2 linked regions of the Ovis aries genome follow. The protein of the gene in region 1 purifies or fractionates together with the protein of each later gene. This does not show direct contact. Links are inferred from orthologs where the notes say so. Each region holds a gene or a part of one and is shown on either strand. Other genes may lie near its edges. The genes, in order: PTPDC1 and PPP2R1B.

Region 1 (16,420 bases):
TGTGTGATTCTAAACGTTGTGTAGTATGATTTTACTATAAAGAACATTGAGATAAATCAGTGGAACTTGTATGAGGTCTAAGAAATAGTGGGCAACTAATAATATACAATTATAATTTTCTGATTTGGGGGAATTTTGGAGAATTTTTTGTGGGAAATATACACTAACTTATTTAGAGTAATAGAGCAGCATATCTGCAGCTTATTCTCAAATGATTCAAGAAAAAAAATTTTTGTATTATACATAAAACTTTTCTATAAGTTTGAGATTGCATCAAAAAGTAAAATCCTTTCCAAATATTTTTAAAATTAAAACTAAATTGTTCAACTCTGTTGAATGTGTGCTAAAAAGTAAAAATAAGACAACTATAAAAAGGACCATCAGAGACCTTCAGTTCAGTTCAGTTCAGTCGCTCAGTCGTGTCCAACTCTTTGCGACCCCATAAATCGCAGCACACCAGGCCTCCCTGTCCATCACCATCTCCTGGAGTTCACTCAGACTCACGTCCATCGAGTCCATGATGCCATCCAGCCATCTCGTCCTCTGTCGTCCCCTTCTCCTCCTGCCCCCAATCCCTCCCAGCATCAGAGTCTTTTCCAATGAGTCAACCCTTCGCATGAGGTGGCCAAAGTACTGGAGCTTCAGCTTTAGCATCATTCCATCCAAAGAAACCCCAGGGCTGATCTCCTTCAGAATGGACTGGTTGGATCTCCTTGCAGTCCAAGGGACTCTCAAGAGTCTTCTCCAACACCACAGTTCAAAAGCATCAATTCTTCGGCGCTCAGCTTTCTTCACAGTCCAACTCTCACATCTATACATGACCACAGGAAAAACCATAGTCTTGACTAGACGGACCTTAGTCAGCAAAGTAATGTCTCTGCTTTTGAATATACTATCTAGGTTGGTCATAACTTTCCTTCCAAGGAGTAAGCATCTTTTAATTTCATGGCTGCAGTCACCATCTGCAGTGATTTTGGAGCCCCAAAAAATAAAGTCTGACACTGTTTCCCCATCTATTTCCCATGAAGTGATGGGACCAGATGCCATGATCTTCGTTTTCTGAATGTTGAGCTTTAAGCCAACTTTTTCACTCTCCACTTTCACTTTCATCAAGAGGCTTTTTAGTTCCTCTTCACTTTCTGCCATAAAGGTGGTGTCATCTGCATATCTGAGGTTATTGATATTTCTCCCGGCAATCTTGATTCCAGCTTGTGTTTCTTCCAGCCCAGCGTTCCTCATGATGTACTCTGCATATAAGTTAAATAAGCAGGGTGACGATATACGGCCTTGACGTACTCCTTTTCCTATTTGGAAGCAATCTGTTGTTCCATGTCCAGTTCCAACTGTTGCTTCCTGGCCTGCATATAGATTTCTCAAGAGGCAGGTTAGGTGGTCTGGTATTCCCATCTCTTTCATAATTTTCCACAGTTTCTTGTGATCCACACAGTCAAAGGCTTGGGCATAGTCAGTAAAGCAGAAATAGATGTTTTTCTGGAACTCTCTTGCTTTTTCCATGATCCAGCAGAAGTTGACAATTTGATCTCTGGCTCCTCTGCCTTTTCTAAAACCAGCTTGAACATCAGGGAGTTCACAGTTCACATATTGCTGAAGCCTGGCTTGGAGAATTTTGAGCATTACTTTACTAGCGTGTGAGATGAGTGCAATTGTGCAGTAGTTTGAGCATTCTTTTGCATTGCCTTTCTTTGGAATTGGAATGAAAACTGACCTTTTCCAGGCCTGTGGCCATGAAACAGATCACAAATGAAAATAGCAAATGAAGTCAAATTTTCTTTTTAGAAGTTTATCTGTAAAGGGAAGAAGGCAGGGGTTGGGGGACTCTCTGAAGAAAATGAATTATAGTGAAGGATCTGGAAGCAATGACTATTAATGTTTGTAAAAATTAAGATTTGCAATGGGGGAGTCTTGGAGAGGTTCTGTCTTCAGATATTTGAAAACCTTGCAAGTCAGAGAGATGCTTTATTTTTCATTTTTAACTTCCCTGATAGCTCAGTTGGTAAAGAATCTGCCTGCAATGCAGGAGACACTGGTTCAATTCCTGGTTCAGGAAGATCCCCTGGAGAAGGAATAGGCTACCCACTCCAGTGTCCTGGCCTGAAGAATTCCATGGACTGTACAGTCTGTGGGGTTGCAAAGAGTCGGACACGACTGAGCGACTTTCGCTTTCAAAGGGAGGAACCAGGACCAATGTTTACAGAGAAATGGATTTTGACTCAACAGTAGGAAGCATCTTGAGCTGTCAAACAGTTGAATAGTTAATTTCCTTGTGAGAAATGAGTCTCATGTCACAAAAAGTGGAAAAAAGAGGAGCTAAAAAGTCAGTGTTCTAGTCTAGCTCCTGGAAATGACTGCTTTATTGACTTAGGACTGAGACTACATAGACATGTGACTAAATGGACATGAGACTCTATGGACATGTGTATGAGCAAGCTCCAGGAGATGATGAAGGACAGGGAAGCTTGGCGTGCTGCAGTCTGTGGGGTTGCAAAGGGTCGGACATGACTGAGCGGCTGAACAAGAACAACAACAGCCTATCTCTGTGGTTGTCAGAAAAAAAGTTTTTTTAGCTTTTAGATGTCTATTGAAAATATGGCCCTTCATAAAATTACTCTTGCTTTAAAACACTTCCATTTTATATAAAACATGAAAAATACTAGAAATTAAGTAGTCTTGTTGCTCCTTTTAAGAAAAAGGCTTCATTTTTTTTCCAATTGCTAATTTAAATAAATATTAAAATGTTAGTCTGAACAATTCATCATTAGCAATCTATATGATTCATCCCAATTTAAAATTTTTAATTGATTTTTAGGATGTAATACAAAGTCTTACAGAGGTGTGAAACAAAAAGTATGAGTATTAGTAACTAAATTGATCCACAAAATGAATAAAATAACTATTTTTTAAAATAATACAAAAAAGAGAGACCAATTTGTACTAATTTGGTACAAGTTCTAACATGTTTTATTCCATGAATTAGAAGATAATCCCTTTAAAGTCATGGCATGATTGCTTTTTGGCAACATTCTATGAATGAAAACATGGTTATGTGGAGATATGGATTTCTGAGGTCACGGAGGTTGGCAAAATAGCTTATCAGGGACAGCATCTCTTGATCTTTATTTTAATGCTGTGTTCCTCTCTGACTTCAGGAAAAACCTGTGATTTGCTATAAAATATTACTCCTTTCCACTTGTATAAAGTTAGTTGTTCAAACATGTAAAGTCAAGTAAATAAAAATATGAGCCTTGCACACCAGTCATATCATCTCTGGTTTAATGAAGGAAAAAATAGAAGTAAAAAATTTTAATCCTGAAAATATATAATACCTTATTTTTAAACAATATAATAATAGCCTAAATAGTCAACAGCTAAAGAATGACTAGGTAAATTATAATGCATCAAAATCTTGTGCATCCACTAAATGAAAATAAGACTAAAGCAAAATGGGAAGGTGTTGGCTATGCTGCTTAGTAAAAGCAGGGGAAATTATTTGCAATTATGACTACAAATAAATAGAAAATCTACGTGCCTGTGGACAAATATTGAAAGGAAGATGAGTTTAGGGGTGGAATGAAAGGTACTCTTCCCTATTGTAACATCGTTTGGCATAAATAAAAACTGATTTTTAAAGGTGGATTTGGCTATGAATTGGGCATTTTTAAAGGAGTAGTTTGGAGCATGCAGTAGTGAGGTTGACAGTTCTGACATGTCTTGGGGAATGGAGGCCTCTGCTCTGTCTGTCGTGCCCACAGGTGGGTAGCACTCCAGTTCAGCACCAGACAGTGCCAGTGTATCCCAGCACCCCTGGGTGCCCCAGGTGAGTGAGCAAGGCAAGAATATGCTGAGAGGGAGGGCTGCAGTCACCTTTTGGATTCCTGTTTGCTTTCACTCTACTTTACTGAAAGCCCAAACTCAGTGTCCCTGTCTGGTAACTCAGCCCACTAAGTGGTTGCATATTTATTTGAGGCCAGACCAGTTCTTAAGATTTCACAGCAGAAATTATTCCTGAGATGATAGAAAAATCTTCCCTTCCTTAGCTTGGTCCAGACAAGTCCTATCCTCATCAAATTCATTCTCATTTTCAGAACTGTTGAGCGCAGAGTCACTTGGACTCTCATGTCCTTAGAGCTGCACAGATCAGGCATTTCCTGCTCACTGGTTGAGGCCTCCTAGTTGCTGCCTCACATGCATTTTCATCTCAGATGGAGATTGCCTGCTGGGTTTTCTATGGCACCTTCTCGTTATGGACTGCATATTTACTGACTTAATTGTCTTGTTGCTGCTCGCTTAGACTTGAAGTCTTGGCATGCAGTGCAGTGTCCGCCCCTATACTATCTTGCTCCCACACTTACTGTCACTGTCCCAGCAGGCCCTCAGTCCTTGACTTCAATCCCTGTCTTTGCAGGGAGTGTTAACCCTGAGAAACTTGAGTCAGACTCCTGTTCCCCAACAGCAGACTCAGACTCCTTATTTTGAGCATTTAGGGCCTCTTGACATCAGGTTCCAGCATGCTTTCCTCACCACATCCTCTGTACTTTCCTTTCCTTTAAAACTGTGGAAGCTGTGCCTTCTGAATAGACTACATTAGAAGAAATTCTTTTTCATTGCTGTTTACAAAATGACAGGGGCAGGATGCTACACTCAAATTTAGACACCAAGTTGAGCTGCTGTATCTTATTTGACAAAACATATCCATTTGGAGAAATGGGGATGTGTTTTAAAAGGAGCAAGTTTTAAAGCATTATTAATTATTAAAATAGAACAGAACAAAGCAAAGAGCCCTATCTGTGACAATAGTTTGTTTCCATCTGCACATGGCCAGAATACCATTTGGAGAAACAGAAAGAGAAAAAGACACGGGGTGGGGTGAGGGTGTTGCAGTTTGACATTAACAAGAGAGGAGGCGGACAATGGGTGGTTGTTAACAATTTCTGTGTTCTTTATATCCTTTATCCTCAAGTTGCAACCTCCCCCTCATCCAGTTCCTTTAAAAAATGTGATACTTAGTGGATTTTCTTCCTGTGTCTCTGCCAAGACATTATTGAAGCTTCTCTTTCCCCTTAGTCAGCAACAAAAGACACAGAAGCATGTCTTTTGAGTTTTTGAGGGCTGTAGTTATGACTGCTGTAACTATCCAATAACCAAGAATTGGATTTTCACATTCTGAAAATAGAAATATGAAAATAAATGTCTTTGGTTAGTATACCAGCCCTCAAGATGTCTTTATTTCTTCTCTCCAAGCATTTCTTAAGTTGTTCTATAAAATAATAGAGGGTTTCGGGCTTCCAAGGTGGCCCACTGAAAGTCTACCTTTAGTGCAGGAGATGCGAGTTCAGTCCCTGGGTCGGGAAGATTCCCTGGAGATGGAAATAGCAATGCACTCCAGTATTCTTGCCTGGGAAATCCCATGGACAGAGGAGCCTGGCAGGCTATAGTCCATGAGACTGTGAAAGTGTCAGATATGATTTAGCAACTAAACAAAAAATAGAGGGATTTTTGGCTTTGAAAAATGATGTTTTAATAATGTTAGAGGTATCTAATATGTCCCACTTTATTACAACTAACTTTTTATCTGCCCTGTTCCAGAGAGGAGTAGAAAGAGAATATTTTTCAAAATATTCAGAGAATAGATAAGAAAGGAAGAACAAAATTTTGGTATTTTAATAATGTGTGTGTTTGCATCATAAAGACATTTTTCTAAATTCATTACAATATTTTAGATATAATTCTCTGAGCAGTCAGATCTTTTTGACGGTATTTGAGAAACAGTAGAAAAGTCACATTTTAGGTATAATCTATTTAAAATACATGTTATTCTTCCCTGTATTCGAACAATCTGTTCAAAACACAATCCATTCATAAGGGATTTTGCTTGTACAGATCTGAGTGGGAATCAGTACTTTCTTTGTTTGTCACTATGGAAACAAGTCAGCCTATCCTGAACAGCAGTTAGATCACGCAGAGTGATGCTCACATCTCAGTGTAACTTCATCATGGAGCAGGCTGGCGCTGACATCTCGCCTCCAGCTCTTCCCTCCTGGAAGCCCAGCACCATGCAGGATCCACCCCGGAGGCTCTCTGCTGTGCCATTCCTCAGCTCCTTTTTCGAGGGTCGTCGCCACTCTGCCTCTGACCCTATCCTGCGGCTGCAGCAGGGGCGGCGCAGCTCTGCTGCCAAGGTGCTGTCCTCGTCCTCTCTCCAGGTGATGGTGGCCATGTCCTCTGTCAGCTGTGCTGAGAGAAACCCAACTTGCCCCGAGAGAAAAAGTAAAGCTCCTTTTCTTCTTAAAGATTGACACACTTTTGAGTTTAAATACAGTGATTGTGAAGAAGCTATGCTGTGTTTATACCTTTTAAAATTTTGAGAATTCTGTGTTATACTTTCTATTGTCTGTTATGCTAAGAGATTCAGTAGACATGTAATAGATAAAAATGATTGAATGTTTTATGTTTTTTTTCATTAAAAATGTAGTTCTTGTGTAAAACTCATTTCTTTGTAGAAGATCTGCTGTAACAGTTTGTTCCTTTTCATTACCAGTACCCCATATGGAGATTCTTGTGTGCAAGGGCCTTTTCCGAAGTAAAGGATAGTGCACTTATATGAAAGGGAAACAGTTTTATTCCTGACAAAATGAAGGGGATTTAGCACCAACTTGTCATGCAATCCTGAGAGAAATTGGAAGCTCTTTCCCTTGTTACTATTCCATTTGGGGAGCAGGACTTTAAATCTTCCCTTCTTCGTCTATTCTAGGAAATTCAGGACGTCCAACGCCAAAATATACAAAAGTTGGAGAGCGTTTGCGGCATGTCATTCCTGGACATGTGGCCTGTTCTGTGGCATGTGGTGGCAAAGCTTGCAAGTATGAAAATGCAGCTCGCTGGAGTGAACAGGAACAAGCTGTTAAAGGGGTCTACTCGTCCTGGTAAGTGATTCTGTCAGTCTTTGATAGCTCCCACCTACTGCTAAGTAGGAAAAGGAAATGGAGTTGTAGGTGATGGCCAGAGGCAGTAGCCTGTAGAAGAAAGAATGTGGGATTTTGAAGTAAGAGGGCCTCACCTTCCATGCTTGGCTTTCCCTCTTGACCATCTGGCCTACTCACAGGCACTCTGAACCGCAGTTTCCTCATCTGTAAAATGGAAATAATGAAACCAACCCTATAGGATTATTTGTTTTTAATAAAGTAGAATGTTGTAGGTAAAGTATCTTAAAGAATTGGTAACTAGATAGATTTTAAATTTCATAGACTGCTAGAAACAATTAAAATATTCAGCTATAAATTTGAGAAATTATGAGGCATATAGGTAGTTTTTCACTTTCATGTAGGTGAACTTTAGCCTCATTTTTATTTTGTTCCTGTACTCTGTATAAAAGGATACATTTTCATACAAATACATACACTTCCAGTCTGCCTCAGTAGAGGGTGGTATAAGTTGTCAGTTCAGTAGATGATGTAAAATGCTTTCATTGTTTATGGTATGTAAGTGTAATTCATTATTGAATCATGCTGTTTTTATTATTATTAGCAAATTGTCAAGTATACCTTTTTTGATATAGTGATATCTTTGAAAAATTCTGATATTTAAAACCATATTTGGAATGCACTAAGAAGAATTCAATATTTAAATAACTCTGCTGGTGAAGCATTTTATAGAGTAAGAATCCATGTACAAATCAGATATTTGTCAGCCAGTTTACTAACCTCCAGCCCTGTACTTTTTCACATTGGATTTGTTGGGTACATGTGTAGTGTTATAGTCTGGGGTCCACTGTCATTACCTTCATCACTACCTTTCTTAAAGAGTGTCATGAAAAAGCAAACACTACTCCTGAGATGTGGCCAGACACATAAATTTATAATAATGCAGCTTAAGGTCACATTAACATTTCTGGTTTATTGTTGACTAAACTCTCTTGTTTTCACCTCTGCTGCTTTCACATTACATCTCTCCTAATCTTACACTAAGTGCTATTACATTTGGGGGATCCCAAACCTTCGTGGTTCCCTGTTTTTAGATATTGCCCCAGTCATGAGAGATGGTATCTTTCTGAATCCTGACCTGCTCATCTGATGTCTCTATTACTCCTCTCAGGTTCTTGTAACCCACAACTTGTGACAGTCTATCTTAGGTATCTTTCACCAGACCACTGGTGAGAAATTTGATCAGAACAGAGGGAAGTTAGAGCCCTAGTGAGAATGACAGCCATTTACTGGGCCTCTGTCCATTTGTACACTCAGTAAACATCCATTTGGTTACAGGCCAGTCACAGTGCTAGACATTTTCAAATTATTGTGGTCATAAAACCCTTTTAAGTAGGCATTGTTAGTGTCATCTTATTGATAAGGAATTGAAGTCCAGAGAGACTAAGTAATTTGCCACACAGCTGGAAAATAGAAAAGCCAGCATTTGAAACCAGGCCTGACTGACTCCAAAGTGATTTTTTTTTTCTAAATCATAATAACTCAGCATTTATTCATAACCACATGCCAGGATTTATGCTAAAAGACTTTATAGTCACATCATATTGAATTCTCACACGAACCCTATGAGGCAGGCGTTATTACCCTCACTCAACACATTAGATAACTGAGGTATAGATGACTAAAGTAACTAAAAATGCTTCCCAGCTGGCCCTCCTTATTTAGTCAGTAACCTCTGGATAACTAATCCAGGATGTTACTTTTGCTGCATGGAGCTGAGGTTTCTCCATCATTCTGTCATGGCCGCTAGAATCTCATGAAAGTCCTTGAAGATACTTTGCTGGAGCCCATAAATACATTATGTTCTGGAATTGTTTCCAGGGATTTAAGAAGTGAGGGTTTCGTATAGCCCTAATCATAATACAGAATTGAAGCCAGATTTGTATAAGGAGATTCTTATCTTACAGTATTGTTGAAATCAGAGAAAAAGTAAGGGCTTGAAATCTTACTTTCTCAGTTCTGTGCATTTCATCAGTCCCTTCTCCCATCTGTAGGGTCACTGATAATATCCTGGCCATGGCACGCCCATCCACTGAGGTCCTGGAGAAGTTCTGTATCATTGAGCAGTTCCGAAGGTAAATGTCACATGTTTAGACACTGTAATAAGCCAGCTTATGTCTTCTTTTCCACTGCTTTTGACTTAAAATAGAAAAGTCCCTTCATTTTACCAACAGAAATGTGAGGAACTTATCTCAAGTAAGATAAAGTTTTAAGAGTAATGTTTATTAATACCAAAAATGGTTATTTTTTGTTAACACTACCTCCCCAATATGACTAATTTTCTTCTTTTTCCTTTAAGCCATGGGATAAAAAGTATCATTAACCTGCAGCGTCCTGGTGAGCATGCCAGCTGTGGGAACCCTCTGGAACAAGAAAGTGGCTTCACATATCTTCCTGAAGCTTTCATGGAGGCTGGCAGTAAGTCTTTCCAACCTCCTTTCCATACGTTACCAAGGACAGAACTCAGAGACTTTTGTCTGCTCAGTTCTTAGGTTAAAAAGGTGATGGAAACAAAGTTCATGCACAGTAGTAGGGCTTCTGGAAAGTGAAGATGAGATAACTTTGTCTTTAAATATCTTATTTAGTATTGGTGTTGAAAGTACAGAATTTCTTTTTTCCTGTGAGAGAGATCTTGAGAGGAGATCTTGTAGAAATAATACCTGCATAATTAACATAAACAGTATGTCAGACCTATCATCTTATTTAATCCTTAAAGCATTCGTGTAATGTAGTTGTTCTGAGACTTCCCTGATGGTCCAGTGGCTAAGACTGTGCTCCCAATGCAGGGGGCCTGGGTTCCATCTCTGGTCAGGGAAGTAGATCCCACATGCTGCAACCAAGACCCAGCACAGCCAAATAAATAAATGAACGTTTAACTATATATATATATATATATATATAGAGAGAGAGAGAGAGAGAGTTGTTGTTCTGCTTCACATATGAGATCACACAGACTGAGGAAGTTCTGACTTGCCCAGGATTTACACAACTTAAACATAGCAACAAGATTAAAACCCAGGACTTATTTGTGCTTTTTCCTACCGCATAGCTCTACCCAGTGGGTAGGATGTGGGGATTCTGTATGTGACAAGTCCAGAAGCTATCAGTCACAGGAGCTTTAGCATAGAATCCCCTGAACATGTGTCATTCACACCAAGCTAGAAAGGATCAACCTGTGCCACTTCTACAACTTGAAGTTCATGCTAGCTTTTTATCCCACTAGTTAGAAAAATCTGTATGTGCCACCTCATGTCATTTATCAGTCAGTCAGACATGTTTCAGTGCTTAAACAAGGTTGCATGCTTTCCCTCCATGGTAGAGTAATTTTGGCATAGGTCATCAACTTTAATTTATAATCCTGCTTTTCATTAATTATTTCTGAGTTTCAGCAGGAAATGTGTTAAATAACACAGAACATGCTTTTTAAGAAATGCTAACAGTAAATTTACTGGAAATGGGAAAAGCCTGTTATTTTAGGTCTACACATCCAGTGAGATCTGCGTGTTTTACAGCTGTATACTTTTCATGACTTCACTCAGTTTTTTCAAATGTCTTTGCAAGTATTTCTCCTATATGTTGATTTCTTCTTGTTCTTTCTCATTGTCCAGTTTATTTCTACAACTTTGGATGGAAGGATTATGGTGTAGCGTCCCTTACCACCATCTTAGATATGGTGAAGGTGATGACATTTGCCTTACAAGAAGGAAAAGTAGCTATCCATTGTCATGCAGGGCTTGGTCGAACAGGTAAATTCTAGGGGGTGGTTTTATTGCCTTTCTGTGTATTTAAACATATAAGGAAAAACATTTCCTAGTTCTTAAGGATAGTTTTCAGATTCCTATCGAAGGTTTGGAGTCAAATGGAGCAAGTCAATAAAAGATACTTGAAATATCTTAAATAGATAGTTTCAGTGACCATATATCCATGAGAGTATTTTTTGAATGATTTAGAGTTAAAACTGCATCATATTGAAAAATAGGTGGGTTTCCATAGCTAGCTGAATGACCTTTCTGATTTTCTTCTTTCAAGGAAAAAAGTCAATACTTTTGTTTTTAATACATAAGTCTTTTTAAAATTTTATCTTCATTAACCAAAATAATAATGGAAATAGCAAGCATTGTTTCATCCAATAATCTTTTTAAGTTGTTAGCAACACTGTAAGTTTTGAAGGAGGTTAATTTGCTGTATCTAAAGTGACAGGACCATGATTTAAAGCCACTGCTATAAGGATTTTGTTTGTAGAGTCTTAACTGTGCCTAAGTTCTGTATAAAAATCAATGATTTTACTTTAAAATGCAGCAGAATATCAGTGCAATGCCAAACCTAGGGCACAAAAAGGATGGAATCTTCATTGGTCATCTAAGCCAGCCCCCAGACACCAGAGTTTGACTCTGTTTACAATGTACCCATGTACTTACCGCTGGCCTTCCCACTTACTGGGGAGGGGGATGGGGACGTAGTTCTGCTTCAGATTGTCAGCTCTCATGGTTGAGCCAAGATCTCACTGTTCTAGGGATTCCATGTGATAGTTTTGCAGACATATCATACTTGCCCTAAAGAACTGCCTTATCCTAGTGAGAAAGATATGTTGGACCTTATGTCATACTAGGAAACCAGGCATTTTTCAGAGGTTCTGATTTTCGTGTGTAATGAGATTCAGAAACTTCATGAATCACACAGATGTCTTTTGATTTGCCTTTTACTTGATGTTAATTAACTGTTGTATTTAAATTAATTTATCACCTTTTTATTATTCATTTCAGTTTAGTATTAATGATAGTACATAATTTTTACACTGTTAATGTGGTCTTCCTTACTATTAAGTACTTATAGAAAAGTATCTGTGGTCTGGAGGAAAATATATATTAGTTTAGGCATTAGTTTATTCTTAAAGAAGAAACTTCAAGAGAGGAAATAGATTGTGAAAATGAATAGTCGCCAAAAATAAAAACACCCAAGTGGGAAAAATGCAGGTCTGGAATGTGCCACCAATTGATGTCAAAGCTGAAAGGGCTGGGAAGTTCCAAGCAGAACGTATGGAGTGATTGAATAGAAATTTTTAAGGACTGTTCAGAGTGGAAAGCAGTATTGGCTTTCTTCCATGTTGGAGTTGGGCATAATGAGGATAAATGAACCAGGTCATCAGTTCATTCAGTCATTGCCCTCCACACTCAGCCATCCTTCCTTACTCCACACCTGCTCAGGTTCACTGTGACAGTACTTGTGCTTGCCCTGTGGTACAGAGGTGACCAAGGGTTCTAAGTCAAGGGGAGGGTTACCATAGAGACAAGTAAATAGGTGAACCCGTGTACCAAAAGTTTAAGTTATCATTGTTCTTAAAATGTTCCTATATATATATGGTTTCCTAATACATATTCAAATTTTAAAATCATCAAAGAGTATAACTAAAAATATAAATTTTTCTCATACCAATCTTCATTTCTTCATTGTTTAGGTGTTTTAATAGCATGTTACTTAGTTTTTGCAACAAGAATGACTGCTGACCAAGCAATTATATTTGTTCGGGCAAAGCGACCTAATTCCATACAAACTCGAGGACAGCTACTCTGTGTAAGGGAATTTACTCAGTTTCTGATTCCTCTTCGCAATATATTCTCTTGCTGTGACCCCAAGGCACATGCTGTCACCCTAGCACAGTATCTCATTCGTCAGCGGCATCTGCTTCACGGATATGAGGCACGACTTCTGAAACACATACCCAAAATTATCCACCTCGTTTGCAAATTGCTGCTGGACTTAGCTGAGAACAGGCCAGTGGTGACAGAAGAAGTGGCCGACATACCTGGCCTCTCAGCTGAAATTGAAAAGACTGTTTCTGAGATGATCACAAGGCAGCTGGATAAGGAGTTACTGAGACATGACAGTGATGCATCAGACACTTTCACCCCCAATGCAGTGGTGATGGATTTTGAGAATCAGGATGTGGTTCTTTCCAGTGAGCAAGAGTTGGACCCTCTTTGGAAGAGGCGGAATGTCGAGTGTCTTCAGCCCCTGGCTCATCTGAAAAGGCAGCTCAGCTACAGTGACTCAGATTTAAAAAGGCCCGATTCGCTTCTGGAGCAAGGGAGGACTCCATGGACAGTGCCTGCCCAAGCCTTGCTTTGCCATAATCCCAGGCAGCAGAAGCACATAAGCCGTTGTTACTACCCACAGTCTCCACAACTAGATTTAAGTAAGGAAACGCTGGTCCGCAATACATATTCTTTCTGGAATCACACTAAATTTGGAGTCCCAGAGGGACTCAAAGATGATGGGTCATCAATTTTCCATAGGACGAGCATTCCAAAGGAAGTACAGAGAAGTAGAACCTTCTCTTCAGGAATTTCAGGTTCATACAACCCTGGGGAACCAGTCGCACCAAACTTTGCAAATATTCCTAAGGGACCAAACTGTTCTCAACAGAAAGTGTACCACTGTGAGTGTGAAAGTCACGGTGGTCGTGGCCTAAGCTCTGTTGCAGAGGATGGTGAGACTTGCCGCCGCCCTGTGGACTGTGGGTCCAGTCCCAAAGCACAGTTCTTGGGGAATGAAACTCAGAACAGCAAATACCTGTGTGAAGTTGCTGCACATATGGCTTTACAGTCTGAGTTGAGTGTTGAAGCAAGGAGAATACTGGCAGCCAAAGCCCTGGCAAATTTAAATGAGATTGCAGAAAAGGAGGAAGTGAAAAAGAAGGTAGAAATGTGGCAGGTATTTGTATTTCATTTAATTATTTATGAGTAGGAAATATTTTTGTCAGAGCAAAAGTAAAACACTTTCCCAAGTTCATTTGTTTTCAGGAATTTGAAGACATTTTGGTATAATACATAACTTTTGAATGTCAAGTTACTCAACCGTAATACCAAATTGCTGTCATTGAAACAACAGACACAGGTCTCTTGTATAGGTTCATTTCAGTCTCTGTGAAAGAAAGCACTTAGTGCTCAGCAGTCATCAGTGTGCTTGACTGATCATGGCAATGATAGTGATTGATGACAATAGTTTCCTTCTTCCTTGCTGGGCCTGTGGGACTGATGGCCAGATGGATAGACAGCTGTAGGAACTGACCTGAAGCATCTCTAACCTGAGCCCTAGCAGGGAACCACACTTGGAGAACCCCGAGCTGAGAGAGAAAATGAAATAGAGACAATTCTTTCCCAAAGCTCATTAACCCAAGTATCAAGTAAGGACAGAAAGATGAGTGATGAGTGCTGACTGCTCAGCAATCCCTCCCCAGCCCACCAAACAAGGCAGGTGTTGGATTCCGGAAAGCAAATGGGAGTGGCCACAGAGCCCCTGTGTCCACTAGTTTTATCTGAGATTGAGTTCCTGAGTTCTATTTCTTGGCTTTTACTTAAATTAGAATGTGACATTTTAAACTTTAACATCGTTTTGTGTTGTACTTTTATGAGGGAGATGCCTAAAATCATGCTCTCTGCCTAGAATGAGCAGCTGATTAGAGAGAAGACAAGCCTTATAAACCTAGTTATGGTAAACTGCCCAAATGTAGGGCTGACCTGGGGAGGCCTGGCTCAGTGATATTTTGGCTTGTTAGCCCATAATGTACCATGAATTATTTGTAGCTGCTTTTCCATCTCCTACCACGAATCAAGCAAGGTGTGTACACTTTCCAGGAGGTCAGGCCTTCCAGATGCAGAGGCAAGAAGAGGAGGCATGGAGCCTGCCTTCACTTACAACTGTTTGACAGGAGGAGAGCACTTCCACACATGATTTTTTCATCAGAATTGTAGTGTTTTGCTTAATCAATAGTTAAACGTATTGCTGTCTTCCAACATGAAATATTTTTCTTAATTTCGTACTCCAAGCTGAACAAACATTCACTCAGTAGGCGGGTCTCCTCCGCCTAACTGAGCCACAGTAGCTAGCGGCAGGACCTCCAGTTTCAGGCTCGACAGCTCACGACCCCACCGTAGGTCTGCCCCACATGACCAAACAAACAGTTTGAACACATAATATATACAAAAGCATTTTCTAGATGTAGATACAACTCTATCCTTTGGATAGGTTTGCCTTTTTTCCTTTCTGGATTTTATTGTGGGTCTTTCAGTAATAAAGAAAATCAGTTGAATTCTGTGTATCCCTAAGGCCCTTTCACATTGTTTCATGTGATTTTCACAGTAATCCTGTGAGACAGATGATACTATTTACAAATTCTTTGTTAACCTTTCAGTACTTACAAACTAAGTATCACAGGTGAGAAAACTCAGAGAGGTCAAGTGATGTGCTTGAGGTCACGTGGTCTGAATGTAGCAGAGCCAGGGTACAGTTAATGTGTTTAATACTTTTCATCATCCCTGATGTTTTTCCTAGCCCCACTGGAAATTTTCAGAAAACAGCAATGATGTAATGGTCATTTTACTAAGAGGGTCTTTGAGTCATGTCGTTTCTGCATAACATAAAATTGAATAAAAGCTACTCTGCTATGTACGTGAGCTATGAGATATGAAGAACTATGCATAACTAAAAGTTTGGGCTTATTTAGGAGAAAATAAAGAGAAACCAGTGCTGGAGGACCCTGATAGCATGAGAAAAACATCACAGACTGGGGTAGAGCAGATCTGGGTTGGGAATGTGCTCTTTTAGTTTGGGCTCCTGGGCAAGTTACTTCTTTCATGAGCCTCCCAGTACATTCATCAGTAAAGGGGACTTCTATGCTGGGTTGCTGTAAGAAGCAGAGAAAAGGCTTGTGTCATCATTCCTGTCATACTACAAGTTTTCTATGAGTATTAGCTTGGGTGAATGAATGAATGGTGGTAATTATTCTGCTTATTACTATTGCAAACTTATATTTTATTTATTAAAACATAAATCTGAACCCTCTCAGAATAAAAATAGTTACCTTACTTTTCCCCCTACTCTCTGTGAGGTAAAGTTTTAAAATCTCCTTAAATTATCTCCAGGCATTTGGAGTATTGGCAAAACTTCCTAGTTGTTTTACCCTATCAAATTCAGAATGCAGGACTTGTTAAATTTTACATGGGATTCTAAAAAGGAATTTGAAAAAAATAGGTTATATATATCATATTTATTAACTTTTTGGCACTTTTATACTTTTTCATTTACCATTCAACTTCCTTGCAGTAAATATTTGTTTTGTTCTAAGGAGCCTGAAAAGAAAGTTTCCTTCTTGAATTGTTTCTGTGGTTTCTGAATGAAATGGAGAACTCGGGTTAACTAATCCTTCTTAGTATCAGAAGCATTAACAGCCCTCTCAGTTTATTCAGCCCACCAGTGGGGTGGGGATGAATTTCACAAAGGGAAACTGAGGCTTAGAGAAATCAAATGTCTTAGCCCAGGGTAAAAGTGGGACCATTGGGAGGGGTTCCAGTCCCCACCTCAGAGCCTGAGACTTTACTCTCCTGGAGAGCCTAGGGCTCATCAGATGTCACAGCATGCTTCCC
Region 2 (16,420 bases), on another chromosome or scaffold:
TTTCCTTGTTGACCTGGAAATGATTTTTCCGGATAAACTTATCAAATCAATGACTTTTGAATATCAGTGTACATTAAAATCACCAAGGAGCATGGTAAAAATGTGCCCCATTCTCAAGGATTCTCATTCAGTAGCTCCTGGGTGTAGGCCAGGAATCAGCATTTTTAACAAACATTTTAGGTGATTCATGTAGTCAGTGGGCCACACTCCCCAAAAGACTGTCTTAGATTTAGTTCCAGTTTCCCTTCAGCCTAATTTTTGAAATAGGCTCTTTCTGCTGCCATCTATTTGTTTTAATCACTTTCTTTATTGAAGGATTTACTAGCATCTCCATGTTTACTGTTTCATTCTCACATAATCACAGTAACTGGAAAGGCAGTCAGAGATGGCTAGCTCCATTTTATTGAGGGTGAGGGGGTGGAGGTGGAACTGAGGCGTGGGGAGAGGTAAGTCATGGTGAGTCAGCCACAGAGGTGGGAATTGAAGTCCAGAATTGATGACTCTCAAACCAGGCAATCTTCTGGGGCCTATTTTCTCAGCTTGTGATTTCATATTTAATCATAGTTATTTCATAGGTGTCCAATTCATTGTGCTTGGGTAAGCGAAGTGTATTTGAGTTTTAAACAAAATAGCTTAGCATCCATCAGTGTACTAGTTTTTATATTTAGCGTATTGAAGCTTGTCTAAGCTTGAGTTAATATCTGCCCTGAGAGATGATGTGGAACTGACTTAATGTGCTTCTTTCTGTGCTTGCTTCCTTTATCATTTCTGACTTTTTTTTTTTTTAGGCCTGCTTCATCATACAAGATTTCAGTTCCCTGACCAGAGTCTTAACCACTGGACTGCCAGGGAAGTCTGATGAAGACTTTTAAGAGAATAGATTTCTCTTCCTCATGACAATAGGAACCCCTCTCTGGTCTTCTGGATAGAGGACTAAGTCAAAAAACCTCTTAATTTTCTTTTTCTCCAACTTGTATAGTACTTGGAAAATCTTGAAAACTCTCACTTTACTTATTTTTATTACAGTGTGACTTAAATGTACAAATATAAAGTAAGAATATAATGATCTTTTATTTATAGTTCTTATATAACTAAAAATATCACAAGACTAATACCATTCAAATTAATATCATAGCAGTTTAACATGGCAGATGATGTATTTTGCTGAGATTAAATTATCCCTTGTATTGTGATTATGGTATTCCTGTGAAAGCTCAGCTTCTTTTGAGTTCAAAATACCTATACCACCAAGCAACCTATATTATCTCAATTTTCTTACCACTTTTCTGTTAGAACTGCTGTGACAATGCAGTCTATGATGTGGTCTGGCTTTCATTTTATGCATGGAAACACATTTTCATTTTAAATCCACCTCTGTTCCTTTCTCATGATCCCAGAATAGTTAAGGCACCACTAAGACATACATGCAAATACAAGTATTGAAATCCCAAGGCAATACCAGGTTATAAAGTGGTCATTCAAATAATCCAGAATGCCTAAATTAAGAATTACTGTTCAGATTCACTGGTTCCCATACTTACACTATGATCAAAAGCCTTATCTACTGTGTTTACTTCCAAGAATGCCATTTTTTTTTAAGTCCCCTAAATTAGATTCTTTTTTCGATGATCCAACGGATGTTGGCAATTTCACCTCTGGTTCCTCTGCCTTTTCTAAAACCAGCTTGAAAATCTGGAAGTTCATGGTGCACGTATTGCTGAAGCCTGTTTTGGAGAATTTTGAGCATTACTTTGCTAGCGTTTGAGATGAGTGCAATTGTGCGGTAGTTTAGGCATTCTTTGGCATTGCCTTTCTTTGGGATTGGAATGAAAACTGACCTTTTCCAGTCCTGTGTCAAATTTGCTGGCATATTGAGTGCAGCACTTTCACAGCATCATCTTTCAGGATTTGAAAGAGCTCAGCTGGAATGCCATCACCTCCACTAGCTTTGTTCGTAGTGATGTTTTCTAAGGCCCACTTGACTTCACATTCCAGGATGTCTGGCTCTAGGTGAGTGATCACACCATCATGATTATCTTGGTCGTGAAGATCTTTTTTGTACAGTTCTTCTGTGTATTCTTGCCACATCTTCTTAATATCTTCTGCTTCTGTTAGGTCCATACTATTTCTGTCCTTTATTGAGCCCATCTTTGCATGAAATGTTCCCTTGGTATCTCTAATTTTCTTGAAGAGATTCTAGTCTTTCCCATTCTGTTGTTTTCCTCTATTTCTTTGCATTGATCGCTGAAAGGCTTTCTTATCTCTTCTTGCTATTCTTTGCTATTCTCTGCATTCAGATGCTTATATCTTTTTCTTCTTTGCTTTTCGCTTCTCTTCTTTTCACAGTTATTGTAAGGCCTCCTCAGACAGCTATTTTGCTTTTTTGCATTTCTTTTCCACGGGGAGGGTCTTGATCCCTGTCTCCTGTACAATGTCACAAACCTCCGCCCGTAGTTCATCAGGCACTCTATCTATCAGATCTAGTCGGTTAAATCTATTTCTCACTTCCACTGTATAATCATAAGGGATTTGATTTAGGTCATACCAACCTAGATAGCATATTCAAAAGCAGAGACATTACTTTGCCGACTAAGGTCCGTCTAGTCAAGGCTATGGATTTTCCTGTGGTCATGTATGGATGTGAGAGTTGGATTGTGGAGAAGGCTGAGCCCCAAAGAATTGATGCTTTTGAACTGTGGTGTTGGAGAAGACTCTTGAGAGTCCCTTGGACTGCAAGGAGATCCAACCAGGCCATTCTGAAGATCAGCCCTGGGTGTTCTTTGGAAGGAATGATGCTAAAGCTGAATGGAACTCCAGTACTTTGGCCACCTCATGTGAAGAGTTGACTTATTGGAAAAGACTCTGATGCTGGGAGGGATTGGGGGCAGGAGGAGAAGGGGACGACAGTGGATGAGATGGCTGGATGGCATCACTGACTCGATGGACGTGAGTCTGAGTGAACTCCAGGAGTTGGTGATGGACAGGGAGGCCTGGCATGCTGCAAGTCATGGGGTCGCAAGGAGTCAGACATAACTGACCAACTGAACTGAGTTAAAATTAGGTTTATTGATAATTTTCCTTTTTTATTCATCAGACACATAAAACTACCATTTCAGAGCTTGTGATCACCACAGGTAGCTATCACTCTAAGTCGCTTATAGTCCAAAACAAAAAGACAGGACATTCTAGTTATTCTGTGCTGCCTGCACAAGGGTAAATGGAAACTTCCTACTAAACTTTGCAAGAACTCTTATACCTTTGGACCTCCTCCCACCGCTGCCTTTGAGGACTCTTGGAGTTCTAGAGAGGTCAGGTTAGCCTTTTTTGTACAAGCAAAGTAGCCGCTTCACCCAATTTGGAAGGATTAAAGCTTGTCCTAGTTTTGCTTGATTGTTGTACTTCTAGCATGCTAAAGACCTAAAAAATAAGAGAAAGAAAATACACAGAAGGCAGCATTCCAGTACCAAACTGAAAAGAAACACAACAAGAGAGCAGCATGTTTTTAACAGCTTGCATGGAGAAAGCGGAAAAAATATTGACTGGGGAGTTTGGATAGCACTGTTCATTTTCTCTCACCGCCCGCGGTATTTGTCTTAGGGAGCAGGAGCCAGATACAATTCTGGCGCACAGGCCGGAGGAAGGGGTGGAGGGGTTCTGTGGAAGCTTGTGGAAGCCTGAGGATATAGCGGGGGAAATTAGGGCTGGAGACCCAGATGGCTCCGGGCCAGGATGAAGTCGGGGGAGGGAGGCGCTAAGTCTTTTTTCCTCCTGGCCTCGAGCATCCTCTTGGTCCCCTGAGTCCTAAGAGGGCACAGCACACGTCACTCAGGTAGGTTTCCGACGCCTTCAGATCAGCACGAGCAGGATGAATCCCTGTCCCTATTTCTTTCTCCTGGGAAAAGGACACGGGGGCTCCTTTCGCCTTCTAAGCCCATCTGTGTTTTGGAGTTCAGACCTACAGCTCCGGAAAAGGGGACCGGGCGGGGGTCCCCACCTGCTCTGCAGGCACTCAGTTCCCGGACTCCCGCTCCCGCCGAGCCCAGGCCTTAGCCCCGCCTATCAGGGCGCGGGGCGGGGCCAGGGCGCGGGGCGGGGCCAGGGCGCGCTGCGGGCGGCGGTAACCCGGCGGAGGAGGAAGAACATGGCGGGTGTGGCGGGGCCTGCCACCGGCTCGGGGGCCGCCGGCGGAGATGGAGACGATTCGCTCTACCCCATCGCGGTCTTAATCGACGAGCTTCGCAATGAGGACGTGCAGGTATTGGAGTCGCGCCCGGCAGCGGACGCGGGCTTGGCTGGGCGCGTGGTAGGGAAGGGGGCCAGCCGGCCCCCGAGGTTGGGGGAGGCCCGGGGATTGAAAGCCGGGACTCTGAGCGGAAACTTGACGGGGAGGAGAGGAGAGACACATGAGGGACCCGTGAGGACCCGGCGGCCCCGGAGCCTGCCCCGCACGCCTTGTTCTGACCCGCTGAGGCGGCGGCCCGGAGTCCCACCTGGTCCTGGGTGCTTGTGGGGGAACCGGCTTGCCGCCCGGGCGCCCTTTTTGGGCCTGGCGGTGAGGACGCCGCGTCCAGCCCGGGGCTGGCAGCGCCCGTAGCGGGGCGAGCGGGAGGCGGGCGGCGCGGGGCCGCGAGGGGCTGCGGGACGCCGAGGCGCCCTGTGAAATGCAGGGGAATGACTGCCTTCCTCGCGGCCTGCTGGAAACTGGCCCGGCTTGAGTGGAAATTAGAAATTAGGTGGGGTGGCTAAAGTAACCGAGGCGGGATGTCAGCTCTGATGGAACTTTTCTTTGAAAAGCCTGGGGTGGTACTCAGCCATCTCACCTGCTTTACCACTGCTACAGTTCTCTTTTTAAAATTGTCTCGCTTTTCCAGATATTGTATTTTCTTTCATTTCTTTAATGGGCCCGTCAGAGGGTTTCTCCTGAGAAATCTTACTTTAGCTAAAGAAGGCGTGTTCCCTTGTTTTTGAGGTTCCTCATAGAATAAAGTGTAAATTAAAGGTTTTTTCCCCTTCTTATCTGTATGCCATTACCTCACCTGTTTGCAGCTACTCTCTTTTGGTCTAAATCACAAGTGCTTCTTAACTTCATTCTTCTTTCTACCTTTTTTTTTGTTTTTTGTTTTTTTTTAAAGCTCCGTCTCAATAGTATTAAGAAATTATCAACAATTGCTCTAGCGCTTGGAGTAGAAAGGACACGAACTGAACTGCTGCCATTTCTTACAGGTATGTGACTCTTTGAGGAAAGGCCTGGGCATTTCTGTTTTCCAATGGCTTTCGAAACTTGGACTATTTTGAATTTGTTGCCCATAGTATTAGTAAGTACTAAACTGAGCCTGTTGTTTCTACTGTGAAGAAACAGGGCAGAGCATACATTGTAATGTTGTGGCCAGACATATTCAGATATTAACTATTTAGCTAATAGAAAAGTAATTGATATGTAATTATGAATTTCTAGTTACTTCTGTAAAACAAATCCATGAAGACACGTGATTGAGAAGGAGGAAAAGGCGGTTAGGATGGCGGCAGATCGTCTACTTACATATGGAGTCTCTTCCTAGTTTTGTATGAGTGTCCAGCTTTGGGCCAGCTATCCTTGTTGATGAATACTGGGTTCTTGTCATTTCCAGATACAATTTATGATGAAGATGAGGTACTGTTAGCTCTTGCTGAGCAGCTGGGAAATTTCACTGGCCTGGTGGGAGGTCCTGACTTTGCCCACTGTTTGCTGGTGAGTATATTCTGCCTGCTCTCCTTCTAGAACTTTTGCAGTATAAATAGTACATTGTTTGGTGATAGGCACAGTGCAGCATTTTTTTATGCAGATCTTTTTAGGGATAGTCACAGTGTTAGCTATTGAGAGAACAAATAATGTAGGCATTTTGGACTCAACCTTTCTTAATTTTTCTGGTTGTGAATGTGGGAACTTTCTCTTCTCTGACTTGTTACTTTAGCAGTTAGGAGAAAAAGGACTGGATTGTTTCTGTTCATGGTTTTTTTTCCCTCTTATGGTGGAAATCTTAATTCTCATCTAACAATGCTGTGGCTTTGGAAATGTTTATTAGTTTTGTCTTTAATTTTAAGTGTAGCTTTTGATTCTGACTTCCTTTGTGAATTTCATTTGAGAACCTTCTATATCAGTCACTGAAGTTACAATGTTCATGTTAAAGGTGAGCACCAGGGTTTGGGAGTGTAATAAGGCCTCTGTCCTTTTGTGTCAACAAGTAATTACTATGTGTTAGATGGAAAAATTTGAAGCACATGAAAGAGAAAGGGATTAACCCGGGGTGATAGGGGAAGATCTCTTTGGGAGAGAATGTCTGAACTGGGGTGTGAAAGATGACTAGGAATTTGACAGCTGCACAGGATGATGGGGTTGTATGCTTCAAGGCTTCAGTATTGGCTGTATTATATTGCTGACTCTCATGACTTCTGTCTTTACCTCTGACCTTTCCATGGAGCTCCAGATATAGATATATGTAGAAAGATATAAATATCTGTGTTATATATATCTGCTGTGGTTTTTCTACTTGGGTGTGAAACAGGCATTTCAAATTTAGTTTGTCTAAAACAGAATGCAGTTTTTTCCCCAAAGTGTATCCTAATTAGTTGTCCCATTGCAGTAAATGGCATCACCATCTACCCAGTTAGTTGCGCAGCCAAAACCTGGGAGACATTCTTGAATCTGTTTCCCCTCACTTCCCACATCAAATCCGTCAGTCACTCCTGTAGATTCTGCATGTATTGCAAATCAGTTCTCTTTCTTCCATCTCTACTACCACTTAGCTCATCTTTCCACTGGTCTTTCTAGACCACGTGGTCTTTCCTCTAGATTATTGCAGTAATCTAGTTGCTTTCCACTCATGCCTTCTGCCCCACCACTCCAGTTCACTCTTCACCCAGAGATGGATCACTCACTCCCTTCCATGGTTCTTAGAAAATTCATAATTTCTACCTTAGTTTGAACCTTAGTTTATAAAATTTGCCCCTATGAGCCTATCTCATATCATATTCCCTCTTAATAACCTCATTCCATTCACAATAGTCTTCCTTCTATTCTTTGAATATACCAAGCTTACTGCCCTGGATAGTCCCTATAATAACATGTGTTTTTGAGCTTCTTGTGACTGGCTCCTTATCATTTAGATGCCAGCTTTAATGCGTCTCAGCAATGCCTTCCCTGGCCTCTCAACCTGAAATTTCTTCCCCACTCATCCCTTACCACATCATCCTTGTTTTTACCCCCTCTTTGACTGCACCACATAGCTTGTGGAATCTTAGTTCCCCAACCAGCGGTTGAACCCTGGTCCTCAGCAGTGAAAGCACAGAGTCCTAACCATTGGGCCACCAAGGAATTCCCCCTGTTCTCTTTACAGAGCATTCAACACCATCTAGTTATTGCCCTGATGAGTTGTTATCTTTCTCCATTAGAATATAAAACTGTATTCAATGTCCTGTGATAAAGCGATAATGGAAAAGAAATATATGTATAACTGAATCAGTTTGCTGTGCAGCAGAAATTAACATTGTAAGACCACTGTACTTGAATAAGTAAATCTTTAAAAAATTAAGAAAAGTCAAAAGACACCCCCCCTCCTAAAAGTAAACTAGCGCAAAGAAATCATGGCCTTATTTCTTCCCTCTCCACAGTGCTAGAATTTAAAAGTAATTATCATTTTAAAAGAAAGAGTTTAGGAGCCTTGGAAGTGTGAAACTGGTTGATTGCAGTATAAAGTGTTGGTGCTAGAGTAGGCGGAAGTGGTGGTCCCAGGGCTGTGGGAAAAGGTCATGGAGAAATAGGCCAAGTTTTAATCAAGAGACAGGAGCTTGCTCTTCCGTAGTAGTGATAGAGATTATCAATGATACTGCATGAGAGGAGGTCAGAGAAGGCAGTGGACAGAACTCGAAAGGCCTTTGCTTTTAAGAAAACAGTATCTTTTCAGAGGGCTTCTGAAATTTCCCTTAGGAAAGCTGAGTACCTTATATCAAATAATTTTTGAAATGTATTATGTAGACTCCCTTGTTTCCTTTGACTCATAATTCTGTTTCACTCTCCTGGTCAGTTCTACATGTGGCTTTTGTCTTTAACATTGGCACTTCATGCTCTATCCTGAATCTGCCCGGACTGAGTGCAAACCCAGAAGAGCAGCAGTTCAGAGAATCTGCCCTCTGTACTTTTCCCTGGTCTGTGCCCTGCTCACTCACTGATCCTAGTCAGGGCCAACCCCTTTGGTCTCTACTGTTTCTAAAGCTGCAGGCAAGGATTCCTACTGTCTCTGTACCTTTAACTTAATTGTTCTTTCATAACGTCCCACTCTGTGTCTGGCTCATGGAAAAATTCTGGGTGTATTCGGAGAAAAGTAATTTTGCACTCAGCCTTTAATAGTTTGGAAAAGTCAGTGGTGCGGAGTGAATTGACAGAGGTAGCTTCCACCTCCAGGAACGGTAGAATGATACTCCAGACGCCGTGGACTCGGTGTCCTGATGCGGGGTTCTCCTGTAATTGTGGTGCCCCGTGGTGGTCATGTTTCTGCACTCACTTTTGAGGAAGTACACATGGTTCTGTCGAATTTGGCTACACAGCCTTTAAATTGAGTGATTCAGTTCACAGTGATATTAATATCGTGTCAGGTCTCTTCTACCATGTCATTCATAGACACCATCTGGGAATTGCCATCTGGGACAGGAAACCTTGGCTGTCCTACAGAAATCGTGTCTTCAGGTTGGACACAGCATATGCCATCACCGTGTGAACTGAGAGTAACTGTTTGGTGTGATGTAGCTAACATTCTGGTTGCTTGTCCCACCTCCTTTCAGTCACTTTAAAAGATGATAATCTGTATCTAACCTGATTGAGTAAGTTTTCTCTGGTTTTCCATTTTGGTCTATCCAGCCTCCTCTGGAAAGCCTGGCAACTGTGGAAGAGACTGTGGTTCGAGACAAGGCTGTGGAGTCCCTGAGGCAGATCTCGCAGGAGCACACGCCAGTGGCTCTGGAGGCTCACTTCGTACCTCTGGTGAAACGCTTAGCGAGTGGGGATTGGTTCACCTCTCGCACATCCGCATGTGGTTTGTTCAGCGTTTGCTATCCCAGGGCTTCCATTGCTGTCAAAGGAGAAATTAGACAGTAAGATATGGTATTTTTTAGTTATTTGGGGTTATTGGAAGCTCACAGCTGACAGGATACACACTACCCTGTTACCAGTGAGTGGCTGGTATCAGGGTAGTCAGATCGATGACAACAGTTACCAATGTCCAGGTGAAGGTACCAGTGGGTTTTCCTTTGTTACTTCTGTGAGTAGAAGTCTAATGCCTGATGTTCGTAGGAGAAAACCTCTGAAATTTCTGTATGTGTTGGGGGGATGCTTAATCAGTGGCATGTAACAGGAAATACCTTCATTATTTTGCTGCAGGTACTTCCGTTCCTTGTGCTCAGACGACACACCAATGGTACGCCGTGCTGCTGCTTCCAAATTGGGTGAATTTGCAAAAGTTTTGGAATTAGACAGTGTGAAAAGTGAAATCGTTCCTTTGTTTACTAATCTAGCTTCAGATGAACAGGTAGGTTAACTCTTAGTAATTAAAGTACACAAATATGCGCTTACATTTGAAGAATTTCTTTGGATGTTTTGGTTCTCATGTTAGTATCATTTTTTTTCAGAATTATTACTTAATTCTGGCCTGGCTAAAGTTTAAGATTACCCATCCCAGTGTCCTTATAGTTCTTTCTTAGCCAAACTGTGATTTCCTTTTCCATTTAGCATCTGTTGAAGGGGAGTTGAGGAATTGGGAGCCATAATTAGGAAGGAAGACCAAAGCCACATTAAAGAGTAGCTATACCTTTGGGTACTGCAGGCTGAGTTATTGTGGGACAGTAATGTTTCCTGGAATTTTGGCATTCAGGTAAACAAGCATAGCATGTATTGGGAAGGCTCTTTGACCCTCTGCATCCTCTCTATGAGTGTATGGGATAACTTTGTATGAGGGCAGTTATAAATCCAAGAATCTCCATCTCATCAGTGTAGAAATTAGCAATAATAATGGGTTTCCCTGGTGACTCAGTGCTAGTAAAGAATCCATCTGCCAATGCAGGAGACGCGGGTTCAATCCTTGGTTTGGGAAGATCCTCCGGAGAAGGAAATGGCAACCCCCTTCAGTGTTCATTCTTGCCTGGGAAATCTCACTGGAGAGGGGACTGGCAGGCTACAGTCCATGGGGTGGCGGAAGAGTCAGACATGACTTAGCGACTAAATAACAGCAAAAAGCAATAATAATATGCTAGTAAGCACCCAAATGAATCTTTTTCAGCCTGTTTTAAGTGGTTTACATATGTGAAGTAATTCAGCCCTTACAACAGCCCCAATTGGAAACAGGCACAGGAAATTGGAGTAAGTTGCTCATGGTTGCATAGTGAGCAGTGTTGGAGTGCAGACTTGAGTCTAGGCAGCTTAGCTCCAGAGTTGTGACCTTCATTGCTGAGCTGTAGTGCTCTTCTTATGGTGCTTTGGAGAATCAGCGCCCTGAGTTCCTGGACGCTAGAAGAACAGTTTACCTAGTTCTGCCCTCAGATCACTGTATGTTTACAGGATCCAGAGCAGCAGATACATACCTTGAGTCTCATGTTCAGATTCTAGATTTGAAGATGATAAATCTTTCAAAATAATTTTTTAAATTTGTTAAAATAATATATACAAAGCAGTACAAAGTGAATATGCATCTTAAGTAATACAAGGCATGTTATCCTGTAACTTTCGTCTGTGAAAGGATACAGAACTTTGATAGCCATTATCCAGGAAGCCCAGCATGATCTGCCTCCCAAACACACTCCCCTCCCAGTTCCTACTCCCTACCCCCTTAAGACTGTAACACTGTTTCTTGATTTTTGTGGTAACCACCTCCTTACTTTTCTTTGCATTTTTACTATTCATAAAGTATGGTTTAAAACAACACCATCTAACAGAAATACAATGTAAGCTACCTGTTAATTTTAAGTTTCACAGTAGCCATAGTTTAAAAAGTGAAAAGCAGGTGAAATTGATTTCAATAATGTATTTTATTAACCCAGTATATCCAGAGTAACTACCATTAGAATGTGTGGCGCTAGTTGTGTTTCAGGCGCTCAGAAGTAGGGAGTAAGTAGGATAATGGTTGTCACATTGGAGAGCACAGGTTTAGAATCCTTATTTGAGATTTTGTTGATTACATTTCCCATGGTATAACGCAATGTTTTCTTTTGTCCTGCAAAATTGGTAGTTGAATCTAGAGTGGAGATTTGTGAATTTTTTCTGTAAAGGGCCCGATAGTAAATATTTTAGGCTTTGTGGACCAGACAGTCTCTGTTGTAACTACAGAGCTCTGCTGTTGTGTGCCACACACTGTCATATGCAGACTAACGGGCATGGTGCTGTTCTGGGAAAATTTTATTTACAGAAACTAGCTGCTTTCCATATTTGGCCAATATCTGCCTCAGCCCTGATCTAGAGGCTTAATGAGAGCTGATTTGATATTTTGGGGGCAGTAAGATCACTTTGTTAGATGGAGGCTGCTTTTCATCAAGAGGCATGTCTTGTTGTGGTATTAACAGCAATGGATGCTGAAAGAATTATTTGTTTAGTTGTAACGTGTGTGTGTATTCACTGTGACCACTGATAGAATTGCTGCTCCTTTCTTAGTCATTCACTGAGAAAGTATTTATTGAGTACATTCTGTGAATCAGGCACTATTCTTCATGCTGGCTTTCAGTGTTAAATGAGGGACCGTGCTGTTGTGCCCTTTATATTTTAATGAAAGAAAGCACAGTAAACAGATAAAATATTAGGGATCAAAACGATGATGGAGGGACTTCCCTGGTGGCTGGGAACCTGCCTTGTAATGCAGGGGACATAGATTTGATCCTTGGTCAAGGAACTAAGATCCAGCATGCTTGGATCAGCTGTGGAGCAGCTAAGCCTTCCTACCACAGCTGCTATGCCCTTGTGCTACAACTAGAGAGTTGGTGCGCTGTATCAAAAGATCCTACATGCTGCAGCTAAGACCCCAGTGCAGCCAAATAAACGTAAAAACTGTTGGGAATTGGATAGGGTACCATAGTGGTGGGGCGTGAATATAAGCATTCTTTTAGACTGGCCAGTCAGAGAACGGCCATGAAGAGGTGCCATAAACTGAAACTTGAACAGAAAAATGCCGGCGACGCCCTTTCCACGTGTGTCAGAGCTCTAGGAAAAGAGAATTCCAAGAGGAGAGGACATTCAGTGTATGTAAAGATCCTGTGCTTGGAGCATAGTGGGTGAAAAGGACTCTGATAAGAATTTGGATAAGATAATCGGCTACCCACTCCAGTATTCTGTCCTGGAGAATCCCATGGACTGTACAGTCTGTGGGGTTGCAAAGAGTTGGACACGACTGAGCGACTTTCACTTTTCAATCAGGGCCCAGATTGTGGGGGACCTTTAAACAGTGTGTTGAGTTTGGGTTTTCTTTTCTAGGTATAATGAGAACACACCAAGATTTTAATCAGGGATGTAATTTTATGTAACTTAAAATTTTAAAAGATTGTTCTGGCTTGTAGGTGGAAAACTAAATTGTAAGGTGAGGGGTGAGAATAGAAACACGAAGACAAGTTAGGCGACTTTTACAATAATCCTGACAAGAGACAGTGGTAAACTAGGGTGGCATGGTGAAGATGGAAAGAATCTGGTGATCGGTTTGGAGGTGGTCAGTAGAACTGTGATTGAGTTGGAAGAAAGGAAGAGACATCAAGATTTCTTGATTTTACTTGAGAAATTGGGTGGATACTGCTGTCACTGCCAAGATGGAGAAGATTCTGGGAGGAGTAGCAGATACAGGGAAGAAAATCGGGAGTTGTGGGAGAAGAGTAGTTGATTAGTTGAAAAAGTATTGATGGGTGTGTGTATTTACATCGATGAAAGTAGCTCCTTGATTCAGCATAGTTTTTGGAATCTGAAAATAGCTGTATGACCAGTACCAAAGATAAAGTTTTGCCTTTTTTAGCCTGTTCATTTAGATAGGGTAGTGAGTATCTTGGGCATGTAGTAGGTCATTGTTGATCTATAATTTTTAAAATGTATAATATTTTGGAAAGCTGGAGGTACTGTTGCCTCTTGTGTGCTTGCGTGTGCACAGGTACACACGTATAAGTATGTTACATACTTTTACGGTTTTTGACGTTTCATCTGGGGGCTCAGATGTTTATGTATTTCCACTTCCTACTAATATATTTATGATTCCCCAATCTATAGTCTCAATTCCTGATTTTTCATTGATCTATCTATTTGTATATTACTACTTTTACAAAGGATATATAGATAGTAGGTTGGTACTTGGCAGGTTACATTTGGGAAATTGAGTTCATTAATCCCTTTCTAATTTTTTCTGCTGGGTTTTCTAGGGTTGGCTATCTCAAAAGTTATTCTGTCCTTGATCATCGGCATTTAAATTTAATGTTTTTTAAAAATTACTTAAAATTTTTGTTTTTCTGTGTATTTTTCCAAGTCATTATCTCATGCCTAAACTCGAATTATTGCCATTCCTTACCCTTATCCCCTTTCTATTCCTCTGTTCTGATCTTCTATAAACAACTGGTACAAGCATGGTTTTCATTTTTAATGCTCAGCTTCCTAGAGTGAGGATTTAGAGACATCATTAAAATGTTCTTGCCTCACATAATCTTTACATTTTTATTTCATTTTCCTTACTAAAAATTCTGTGTTCTAACTAACGTCGTTAACTTTGCTGTTCACTCAGAGAACAGTCATTTCTGCCTTGCCATTTCAGGCAAAGGGAACAGCTATTTCAAGACATAAAGACATGAACTGCTTATAATGTTGTTTTTTTTTTTTTTTTAAGGACACCCAAGCACTACCACAACCGCACACTGCCTCATGGCTCTCAGTAAATACTGTCTAACAGAAAGGAATTTTGTTCATTAGGATTCAGTGCGCCTGCTAGCTGTGGAAGCCTGTGTCAGTATTGCCCAGTTACTGTCTCAGGATGACATTGAGGCTTTGGTGATGCCTACACTTCGACAAGCAGCAGAAGATAAATCTTGGCGAGTTCGCTATATGGTAGCTGACAAATTTTCAGAGGTAAAGTAGTGCACTGACATTTTTTAAGTACTAAAAGGAAGAAAACCCTCAGAAACCCACAGATTTGCTGTCATAACCAAAAGTTTCTGAATTGGAAGTGCCTGAGGCAAAAATATACATAGACCTTCCTTGACTCATGATAGGGTTATGTCCTGAGAAACCCACTTCAGTTGGAAGTGCATTTAATGGACCTAACCTGCGAACGGCATAGCTTAGCCTCGCCTACTTTAAACTTTTAAAGGACACTTACATTAGCCTACAGTTGGGCAGAATACTCTAACAGAAAACCTGTTTTATAATAAAATGTGGAATAGCTCACGTAATTTATTCAATACTGGTACTTAAAGTGAAAAACAGAGTGGTTTTAAGTGTATCGGTTGTTCCCCGTTGTGATTCCATGGTTGACGGGAAGCTCTGGCCTCCCCACTCTGCCCAGCATCACAGGGGGTAGTGCTACATAGCACTAGCCCAGCAAAGGATCAAAATTCAAAACGTGAAATTTGGTTTCTAGTCAACGTGTATTGCTTTCACAACATCCTAAAGTTGAAGAATCTTCAGTTGAACGATCATAAGTTGGGGACTGTCTATACTTGATGATTGCATTGTGCTTGTTAAGTTATTTTGATTAGAGTGCATTAAAACCTGTACAAATTCTTTTATAGCTCCAGAAAGCTGTGGGTCCCAAAATCACCCTAAATGACCTCATCCCCGCCTTTCAGAACCTACTCAAAGACTGTGAAGCTGAAGTCCGAGCAGCTGCTGCCCATAAAGTAAAAGGTTAAGGTGTCAGTTTATGTTGTAACTAGATCACTTTGGTGCATTTTTTTATGTCAGTGAATTTTGTATTTTTTTTTTTTTTGGTCTTACAGATTATGTTTTCAGAAAAATAGTGATGATTTTAATGTGTTGAGATGTTAACATTGTCACATAAAGCTACTCCCTTATTTATTTAAAACCAAATAGCTTCTGTTTAAAAAAAAAGTATCCAATCCAGATTGGATTGGTGTGGTACACAGTGGCATATAGATTGACCAAAAGGTGCATTTAAAAGCAGCCATTTTTCTTCCTTGGAACTTATTTGCTTAAACATATGATTTGATTTAACTTGAAACTTGATAAATCTGGTTAAATTTCTTCATTTGGCTCCTTGTAAATGGCTCTACATAAGCATTTTTTTTTTCTCTTTGTATATTTTAGAACTTTGTGAGAACTTGCCTATGGAAGGTAGAGAGACCATGATTATGAATCAAATTCTGCCTTATATAAAGGTAAACCTAACTTTAGTTTATTTTTTGTTACACTTTGCCCTGTGTGAAGGTAAACCTGACCTCAATTTTTGTTTGTATTACTTTAAAGCTCTTTGAATTTAAACGTGGACCAGGGATGAATGGGACAGTTATATTAATGTGTGACACTGTTATTTATTACTTATTAATATTTTGTAAGTGCAAAATGCTCTTTTTTGCATAGGTTTATTTTATCTGACAGATGGTCTGAGGAAACTATTGACTAATCAGTATTGAAAGAGCGCTATCTTTTAAAATTCCTTGAGAAGTCATTTGGAAGTTTCTGTTGTCTTGCAAAAAAACTAAAGGCTTTTAATTTTGACTTTATTCTAGGAATTAGTGTCTGATACAAATCAACATGTCAAGTCGGCTCTAGCTTCTGTAATTATGGGGTTGTCTACCATTTTGGGCAAAGAGAATACCATTGAACATCTTCTACCTCTCTTTTTAGCTCAGTTAAAGGATGAGGTGAGTCTGGCTGTAAATTTTGTTGTCCTTTGATAGTCGGTGATTTGGTTTGGTTTTTGTTTGGGGTGTCACTGAAAAAGTAACTTATTTTAAACCATTGATGGCATTTGGGCACGGAGTTACAAGTTCCTGAGAAAATGGGCCACTGATACAGACGTAAAAATGGCTGTCCATCTTCTCTGCCTAATTCCTGATTATATTCACTGTTTTTTTCTTATCTTTAAACTTAATGGATCTTTATTTGAAAAGTTTCATTTAAATTTAGATATAATATTATAAAAATTATCTTGTTTGCCAGGCATGATCATCAGTGCTTTGCATGTGTTATTATTATGTGTAATTTTCACAGCAATCTTATTTTTGAGGGTTGGTCTTACTATTATTCCCATTTTACAGACGAAGAAGGTGAGGCACAGACGTAAAATAAGCCGCCTGAAGTTTCAGCTGGGTCGATATGGGATTTGAATACATGTAATTTGATTTCATAGCTTATGTGCTCTTTACATTTCATAGACTTTTCATTGAGAGTTTTAAGTCAATTAAATTGTGCAGTTTGAATTATTTA

Evidence for each region.
Region 2: the proteins of PTPDC1 (region 1) and PPP2R1B purify together in Homo sapiens (affinity purification with mass spectrometry; 3 studies listed by BioGRID and IntAct, counting the BioPlex papers as one, with this or other methods). This does not show direct contact. The link is inferred for Ovis aries from reciprocal best matches to the Homo sapiens genes PTPDC1 and PPP2R1B.

Annotation. Positions count from the first base shown.
Region 1 is NC_056055.1:27,517,314-27,533,733, reverse strand, and holds part of PTPDC1 (protein tyrosine phosphatase domain-containing protein 1), read left to right. Parts: 5' UTR 1-5,984; coding exon 5,985-6,285; exon of another isoform or gene 6,286-6,503; intron 6,504-6,769; coding exon 6,770-6,941; intron 6,942-8,992; coding exon 8,993-9,073; intron 9,074-9,297; coding exon 9,298-9,416; intron 9,417-10,606; coding exon 10,607-10,744; intron 10,745-12,453; coding exon 12,454-13,709; intron 13,710-16,420. UniProt on the Homo sapiens protein: May play roles in cilia formation and/or maintenance.
Region 2 is NC_056068.1:21,767,068-21,783,487, reverse strand, and holds the start of PPP2R1B (serine/threonine-protein phosphatase 2A 65 kDa regulatory subunit A beta isoform), read left to right. Parts: upstream 1-4,124; 5' UTR 4,125-4,141; coding exon 4,142-4,255; intron 4,256-5,132; coding exon 5,133-5,223; intron 5,224-5,627; coding exon 5,628-5,728; intron 5,729-8,890; coding exon 8,891-9,123; intron 9,124-9,409; coding exon 9,410-9,557; intron 9,558-13,945; coding exon 13,946-14,101; intron 14,102-14,763; coding exon 14,764-14,878; intron 14,879-15,298; coding exon 15,299-15,369; intron 15,370-15,720; coding exon 15,721-15,855; intron 15,856-16,420. UniProt on the Homo sapiens protein: The PR65 subunit of protein phosphatase 2A serves as a scaffolding molecule to coordinate the assembly of the catalytic subunit and a variable regulatory B subunit.